2 linked regions of the Coturnix japonica genome follow. The protein of the gene in region 1 binds, or shares a complex with, the protein of each later gene. Links are inferred from orthologs where the notes say so. Each region holds a gene or a part of one and is shown in the gene's direction. Other genes may lie near its edges. The genes, in order: OGDH and TCAIM.

Region 1 (3,815 bases):
CTGGACCCTCACGACCCTCCCACCACCACGTCTCCGTTCCCAGGATGTCCATCCCCTGTGGGCAGCGTCCCCACGCTGGGTTTCATCATCGTGGACGTCCCCGTGGGGGGATGATCCCATAACGGATGTTCCCCACACCCGGAGGGCTCTGCACCACAATGGCCATCCACAATGTGCATCCATTGTGTGCTGCAGACCCCAATGGTTGGATGGCCCTATAGATGGATGGATGGATGTCCCTATGGATGAATGTCCCTATGGATGATGTCCCCATGGTTGTATGTCCCTACGGATGGATGTCCCTATAGATGGATGGATATCCCTATAGATGTATGTCCCTATGGATGGATGTATGGCCCCATGGATGGATGGATGTCCCTACAGATGGATGTCTGTCCCTATGGATGATGCCCCTGTAGATGGATGTCCCTACGGATGGATGTCTCTATGGATGGATGGATGTCCCTATAGATGGATGGATATCCCTATAGATATATGTCCCTATGGATGGATGTATAGCCCCATGGATGGATGGATGTCCCTATAGATGGATGGATGTCCCCATGGATGGCTGTCCCTACAGATGGATGTCCTTATGGATAGATGTCCCCATGGTTGTATGTCCCTATGGATGGATGTCCCCATGGATGGATGGATGTCCCTATAAGTGGGTGTCCCTATGGATGTATGGCCCTATAGATGGCTGGCTGTCCCTACATCTGGCTGTCCCCATGTATGTCCCTACAGCTGTCTGTCCCTATGTATATCCCCATGGATGGATGGCTGTCCTTATGGATGGATGTCCCCACGGTTGTATGTCCCTATGGGTGGATGGCTGTCCCCATCTATGTCCCTATAGATGTATGTCCCCATGTATGTCCCTATAGCTGTATGTCCCTATAGCTGTATGTCCCTATAGATGTATGTCCCTATAGCTGTATGTCCCTATAGATGTATGTCCCTATAGATGTATGTCCCCATCTATGTCCCTATGGCCGCCCCCCCCCCCCGTTCTCAGCGCGGTTCTTTGGGGGCGTGTCCGTCGTTGTGGGCGGGGCGACGCGGTGACGTCAGAGCGGGGCGTGGCGACGCGGGGCGGCAGCCGGCGGTTGGGGGCCGCTGTCAGAGTCGGGGCCGCGAGCGGCAGCGCGGAGCGGCAGGTACCGGGATGGGGGACGGGGCGGGTCGGTCCGGTCCGGTTCGGTTCGGTTCGGTCTGGTCCGGGGCCGGGCGGGTCGGGGTTGTTGTGTTGGGGGGGGCGGCCCGAACCGGGTCCGTGTCCTTGGCGCCGCCGCCAGGGCGCCCCAGGGCGGGGGAGGGGGCGGGGCCGCCGCGGGGACGGACGGTCCGCTCGGCCAATCGGGGGGCGGCGACGCGCCTCGCGCCGCTCTGATTGGTGGCGGAGGGCGCGAAGGCCGCGCGGCGGAGGCGGGCGCTGATTGGCGGGCGGGGCGCGGGGGCGGGGCCGAGCCTGGCGCCCTGCAGCACGTGGGAACCGGGACCGGAACCGGGTCGGAACCGGATCGGAACCGAACCGCGAGCGGGGCCGGGAGCTGTGCAACGATGCCTTAATGCCTTAATGCCTTAATGCCTTAATAATACCTTAATGCCTTAATGCCTTAATGCCGGCCGGGAGTCCAGGCCCGGCACTGCTGCGCTGCCGTCACCTTTAACGGCAGCAGTTCTGTACCGGGAGGTTCGGATGGTTCGACCCAAACGCTCGGCACCAAAATCCGGCACTTTAAGGGGAATCGGAGCCGCAACGGGGTGAAACTGCGACCGGTCCGTGGGGAACCGGCAGAGATAGAGACAGAACGGGGGGGTGTGAGCTCATAGAGCCATAACGGGCTGTGAGCCGCCATTATAGAGACATGGGGGCGAAAAGGAGCCGAAAAAACATCAGGGGTGACCATAAAGTGATGGGAAAATCAGTGTGAGGCTGTGGGGGCACATCCAGTGTGGGACGGGTATGGGATGGACACAGGACAGGGAGTCTCGTCAGCCCATTCTCATTGCTGGGGCTGTATCATTGGCCTTTATCGCAGTGTGAGTGGGGAGGAGATGGGGGGACCTGCCCAGGACCCCACACCCTCTTTGGTCCATGGGATGCTGAGTTGTGTTGTGGCCCAGCTCCTCCTGCAGTCACTTCTCCCATTGCCCCGCAGTTCAAGGTGAGCTGTAGCACCTCGGTCTCTCGCTGCACTCCCAGCCCCACACATTGTGGGGTCAGCCCCATCCCCCTCAATGCACTGAGAGTCACTGCGGGCTCCTTGTCAGATGGATGGAGGCCAGAGGCAGCGTGAGTAATGCAGCAGGAATGGGCCGGGCTGAGCCGCTCTGCTCCACGCGCAGCAGGAAGGGGAGCGAAGGAGAAAGCTCTGGTTATACAAACCCTGCTCGGGGTGCTGTGCTGTGTCCCGGCAGGACGGGGTCAGCTGAGCGCAGGGCAGCGCAGCATCCAGCTGGTAAGAAATAAATCAAGTCGCTGGAACTTTCCGGGCTGGTTTGGCCCCTGTTTGGGTGGCATCCTGCAGCTCCCAGCCCCGACTGTGCTCCTACACCCAACAGTGCTGGGCTCTGATTCCATGCGGTGCTGTCCCAATGCACACCATGGGCACGGGGCACTGCTGCCCATGGCCTGGTGTGAGCTGGGCACCTCGCAGGGCTCCCTTGTGCCGCAGTCACGTGCCCATCAGCTGAGTGCATGGGGAAGGGATGGGAATAAATCAGCAGCAGCTCCGGGCTGTTGTGCGAGCAAAGGTTGTTGCTCACTTACGAAGCTGGTGCCAGGGGTGACGGTGCTCGCGCTGCCTTGCGCCCCTTCCTAAAGCTCTGTTTGCTTCTGTTCCCACAGGGACTCGTGTGAGGCCGTCGGACAAACATGTTTAACTTAAGGACTTGTGCAGCAAAGCTGAGGCCGCTCACGGCCGCTCAGACTGTTAAGACAATTTCCCAACAGAGGCCGGCAGCGCCCAGGACGTTTCAGCCCATCCGGTGCTACAGCGCGCCGGTGGCTGCCGAGCCTTTTCTGAGCGGGACTAGTTCAAACTATGTGGAGGAAATGTACTATGCGTGGCTGGAAAATCCCAAAAGTGTACATAAGGTAAGGAGCAGCTCCCCGGGAAAACGCCTCCGCTTCGGTGTGTGCGTGGCCCTGGGGGCAGGTAATGCAGCGTCCCACGAGGATTCATCAGGGTGTGGATGTCTGTTCCTCTGCGCTCAACTGAAAGCAGCAGCTGCATCAGAAGCTTCTCGTCTCCAGAGCGACCACCCTGTGCTTTGTGTGCAGCCAACACGTCCTGGATCACACATGGATACAAGGAACGGCTTCATTGGGAATCCGTCCTGCCGAGCTCCAGATGTTGTCTGCTCTCCAGCCCTTACAGGAGGGTCCATCCTGGGGGTGACAAGGAGAGGGTCCCCCTCACATCTCATGTCCCGTTTGCTGTCTGTGCCCTGCTGAGCGGGGCCGTGTGTTGGTGCATCACTGCAGCACGAGGCAGAGCTGTGGGCTTTGCTCCTGGATGGTCGGGGCATTTCTGAAAGCCCGCCGTGTTTTTCCCCCGGCGTCACACAAAGGAAGTTTTACCGCAGGGAACGAGTTTCAGCCTTACTCACATCATCTGTAAAAGGGTTTCGTGCACGTTGTGGTGCTCCCAGGGCAGACTTATTGTGCAGCTGTCACACGGGTGCTCAGGGGATGTGGAAGGAAGTTGGTGCTCAAACGCTTGTGTCAGCAATGAGCTGTTTTCAGAGCATTGACCTCACGCATCCAAACAGCCTGTGGGAGCCCTAAGGCAGGGTCAGAGCCAGGT
Region 2 (3,815 bases), on another chromosome or scaffold:
ATGAATAGGAAGACATTTCTGATGGCTTGCATGCTGCAAAGAGCTTTGTGGAAGTACTGTTGAATGGTTATGCTAATGGTTCTTCAACCTTTACTTTATTTCTATGTGCCTTAAGTATATAGCACATATTTCCTTGGGTATATGTCATTTGTACAGATTATTTGAAGGCTCTGTTTGCTGATATTTTCTGTATTTCCAGTTAACTGAAATTCTACTGGTTCTACTTGTTTAAACAGGGAGAAAGCAAAAGCTAGTTAAGTCTTGTATGGAAAATTATTGAACTGGGGTTTTCAGGGATCACTTTTTTGGATTTTGAGAATAAAGAAAGCAACTGCTCATTTTGTTTGTGCTAAGAAAATGTGTTACTTGTGACACATTAGTAGCGTGCCTAAATCTTACATAATTGTGTGAATGGTGGCAGTAAATAATGAAATTTAGTAAGGAGCTTTCTTTGATCTTTAGGACGCACGGTGGTTTTCACAGATCGTTCAGGTATGAGTGCAGCAGGCCACGTGATGCTGGGGACCATGGATGTTCACCATCACTGGACCAAAGTAAGGTTTCAGAGCAAGTGCTGTTCTCTGTTGTTATGACATCCTTTTCTAAACTATAGCCAAAATATCGTCGCTAATTACTCATGAGTAATTTAAAGGAAAAAACATGGCTGCTATGTTTAGCGTAACCTTGTACATCACATTCTGAATTCAGTCTTATTTTACTAACAGCAGTCTTTGTCAGATCTTTTCTTCTGCTTCTACTAACAAACCAGTCTCATCTCTGATTAGATATAAATGACTCTAATAAGCTACACGTTGTTCCAGTCCATAGGTAATAAGTGCAATAAGCACTGGTGGAATATTTCTTCATCTATAAAGAGCTCATTCCCATGAAGAATTTAGGAATTCTGTTCTGATTGTTGATGTAAATGGAACTTAAATGGAGTTGTGAAGGGGTCTGTTCAGTCGGTGGCTGCTTTCCAACTCTGTATCTTCACTTTGTTCTTTTAGGCAGATGACGGAGGTGTTGCAAAAATTTATCTTCAGTGAATAGACAAATTCTGCTGTTTGTGTCAAGTTCAGATTCATCAAATTTCTGGCATCCTATATAATAAAGCACTGTATGAGGATGCATGTCACTTCAAGGGAATTTTCCTGAATCTTGATAATTAAAATGCTAGCAATAGTTCTTTCAAAAAAATATTTCTGTGTAAAGTGATAATTAGAGGAATTTCATAGTTGGAAATTTCACCCAGCTAGAATTTAAGAATATTTTATTTCTGCATTCCAGTCAGTTATCATATGAAAACTGAGCACTCAACCTAAAGTTTTCTCTGGTGATGATTTGGATTTTTGCCTGTACATTTCACTGAAGGAAATGATAAGCCATGTTTTGTTAATATGGAATGATTTATGAACTTAATAAAGTGAGAAACTAGAATTGAATGCAGAGCTTTCTACTCTGAGATTTGCATTGATAGTAATTGGAATACAAGTATTTTTCTAATACTGGGGGAAAAAAGCCAATCCATTCCTTAATGAGATAAATGTTTCCTCTTTCTAACTGGCCAAAAGCTGCTTGGATTCTACTACTCTCTCATATTTATAAAGAGGTTATTCTGAAATCACTTGATTGTCCCAGCAAAAGTATTTTCTTTTTTTTTAAATGAAAAACTGTGTTCTGCTAATAGCTGAGTAGGTGGTATGTGGTGACTACGACAGACTTTTTTCTTACAGCCTTTCCTCTGTAACCAACCTTCTGTGTCTTGGCTCACAAGTCTGATCACATCTTAATCTTTTCTGGCAGAAGTTTGTAAATTAGATGTCCGGTTCTTTCCTTCCCTCCTTCCCCCAGGGAAGTGGTGGAGTCGCCATTCTTAGCAGTGTTCTAGAGGCGTCTGGATGAGGAGCTACGAGAGATGGTTTAGTGGCTTGTGGCAGCAACGGCGATGGGAGGGCGGTTGGACTGGATGATCTTGTAGGTCCTTTCCAACCTTGTGATTCTATGATTTTCCTCCAGACTCCAAATAAACGATATTATTAGCTGAGTCCATGGAAAGAACTAGTCCCAGTGCTGCAGGCTCTCTGTTGTTTGAGGAATGGATATATAAATTAGGCTGGCGAAGACACCCTTGATGACAGTGTGTGGTAGATATGCATGTAGGCATTTTATGTAGGCTTTAGATTATAATTTGCTTTAGATCTGGGAATGTTAATTCTGTATACATAGATATAAGGGGCATCCACTGATCTTGTCATATGGTATTGGTGCGTTTATAGTGTAAATACTGAAAATACTTACGAACTTTTTCCATTATATCTCACCCCAAAGTGTATAATAACAATATTACTTTCTTTTTTATATATATTCCTTGATTTCTGTTTCCCGTGTTTTTTATGTGTAGTGGGGTGTTTTTTTTGTTTGCTTGTTCTTTTTGTTTTCTTTTTTTTTTTTTTTCGCTGTTCAGTGTCTCTTGTTAACTTTTTCTAACAATTCAGTTGTACGCTTGATAACATAAAAAGCTCTTGTGTGTGTGTGTGTGTCCCCACAGATTTTTGAGAGGCTGCCAAATTATTATAAACTTCAGGAAAGGCTGCTGTTCTTGGAAGATCGGATAAGCCAACTTCTGGGAGGCATACAAGTAATATACGTAGAAGAGCTGCAACCCCTCTTGACTCTGGAAGAGTACTATGACACTCTGGACTCTTTCTATAACAAACTACTTGACAGTCGACTGCCTTTTCATCCCCAGAGCCTGAGAGGCTTGCAAATGATTCTAGAAAGGTGAGTATTTGCAGGAAAGATTTATTTCGTCTGGAGCTTTTAGTTTTTTTGTTGTTGTTCCACTGATTATTGCTTTCACTAAGAAGAAAACTAATAATGATTTTAGATTTTCAATGTATCAGTCTTATTTTTAAAGGTTTCTGTGCCTTTATATGGGTTAGGGAAAGAGTCAGGCTGAAGGAAATCATACGTATTTCATTCAATTCATTGGAGTCAAGGTGGAGGTTTTTATCTTTTGTTGTGTTGGGTTAAATCAAAGGTTTTGTGCTGTAAGAGCAACATTTATATATAATGATGACAAGTATATGTACTTCTTAATGTTGTTGACTGTGTTGCTTATGAAATGCTCTGGAAATATTTATGTATGATGTTTATGTATTCTTATGAACCAAACTTGATTATTTTTTTTACCTACTATTCTGATTATCTACTGATAATCTTATGTTCAGAATCCATTTTGTAAGTAATTCATGGGAGTAGTTATGTGGAAAAAAAGTCTTGCTTTTCATTTCCATCACGTTTCATTGCAGTGATAGATACACACCAAGCTTACATGAATTTGGACACTTCACCATCCCAACAGTCTGTGATCCAGCAACCCTTCGATGGTTTATTATTGCCAAAGCGCAGGAAGCAAGAGAGAATCTGAAAAGAAGGGAAGAGTAAGTGTTTATATCCCAGTACACTTTTGTTCATGAAAATCTTTGCACACCATGTTCCTTACTTGTAACAGTGCTGAAACTTTGAGGATAGCATTTTTGCTCTTCAGTTGGAAAAGCAACTTCTGTTTGTAAAGCAAAGCTTTACCTATCAGCTTTACTGAGTTGAAAATGGAAGCATGCTGTGAACACAGACATTTGATAGGAAATTACTGTCCTTCACACTGTAGAAATAGTTTGTCATTTATTCAGAAGCAGAGGATTTTTGCCTGTGTGGTTTTTTTGTTTGGTTGGTTTTTTTGATTTATTTTACAATGTCCCTAAAGAAGAGGCTTTCCCCCTTTTTCCCCTTCTTTTCCACCCTTTCCCTCCTTC

What was found.
Region 2: the proteins of OGDH (region 1) and TCAIM are in contact, whole or in part, in a cryo-EM structure (PDB 8I0K), measured with the Homo sapiens proteins. The link is inferred for Coturnix japonica from reciprocal best matches to the Homo sapiens genes OGDH and TCAIM. Residues at the interface, in NP_001425937.1 of Homo sapiens: Gly301, Tyr304, Arg323, Tyr354, Arg356, Ile358, Arg364, Asn365, Lys387, Glu391, Tyr394, Cys395, Gly396, Thr398, Glu399, Lys401, Lys402, Lys561, Met602, Pro605, Glu667, Gly668, Ile669, Asn709, Met734, Ala735, Ser736, Pro737, Asn738, Gln772; in NP_001269842.1 of Homo sapiens: Glu214, Gln234, Arg235, Ser236, Trp237, Gly238, His241, Ser244, His247, Ser248, Arg251, Gln255, Asp272, Arg273, Thr286, Met287, Asp288, Val289, His290, His291, Glu331, Leu332, Gln333, Pro334, Val335, Arg375, Tyr376, Glu441, Ser443, His473.

The regions. Positions count from the first base shown.
Region 1 is NC_029537.1:133,451-137,265, reverse strand, and holds part of OGDH (2-oxoglutarate dehydrogenase, mitochondrial), read left to right. Parts: exon of another isoform or gene 1-949; intron 950-1,053; exon of another isoform or gene 1,054-1,160; intron 1,161-2,355; exon of another isoform or gene 2,356-2,465; intron 2,466-2,854; 5' UTR 2,855-2,881; coding exon 2,882-3,103; intron 3,104-3,815. UniProt on the Homo sapiens protein: 2-oxoglutarate dehydrogenase (E1o) component of the 2-oxoglutarate dehydrogenase complex (OGDHC). Participates in the first step, rate limiting for the overall conversion of 2-oxoglutarate to succinyl-CoA and CO(2) catalyzed by the whole OGDHC.
Region 2 is NC_029517.1:37,430,891-37,434,705, reverse strand, and holds part of TCAIM (T-cell activation inhibitor, mitochondrial), read left to right. Parts: intron 1-462; coding exon 463-554; intron 555-2,548; coding exon 2,549-2,781; intron 2,782-3,311; coding exon 3,312-3,443; intron 3,444-3,815. UniProt on the Homo sapiens protein: May regulate T-cell apoptosis.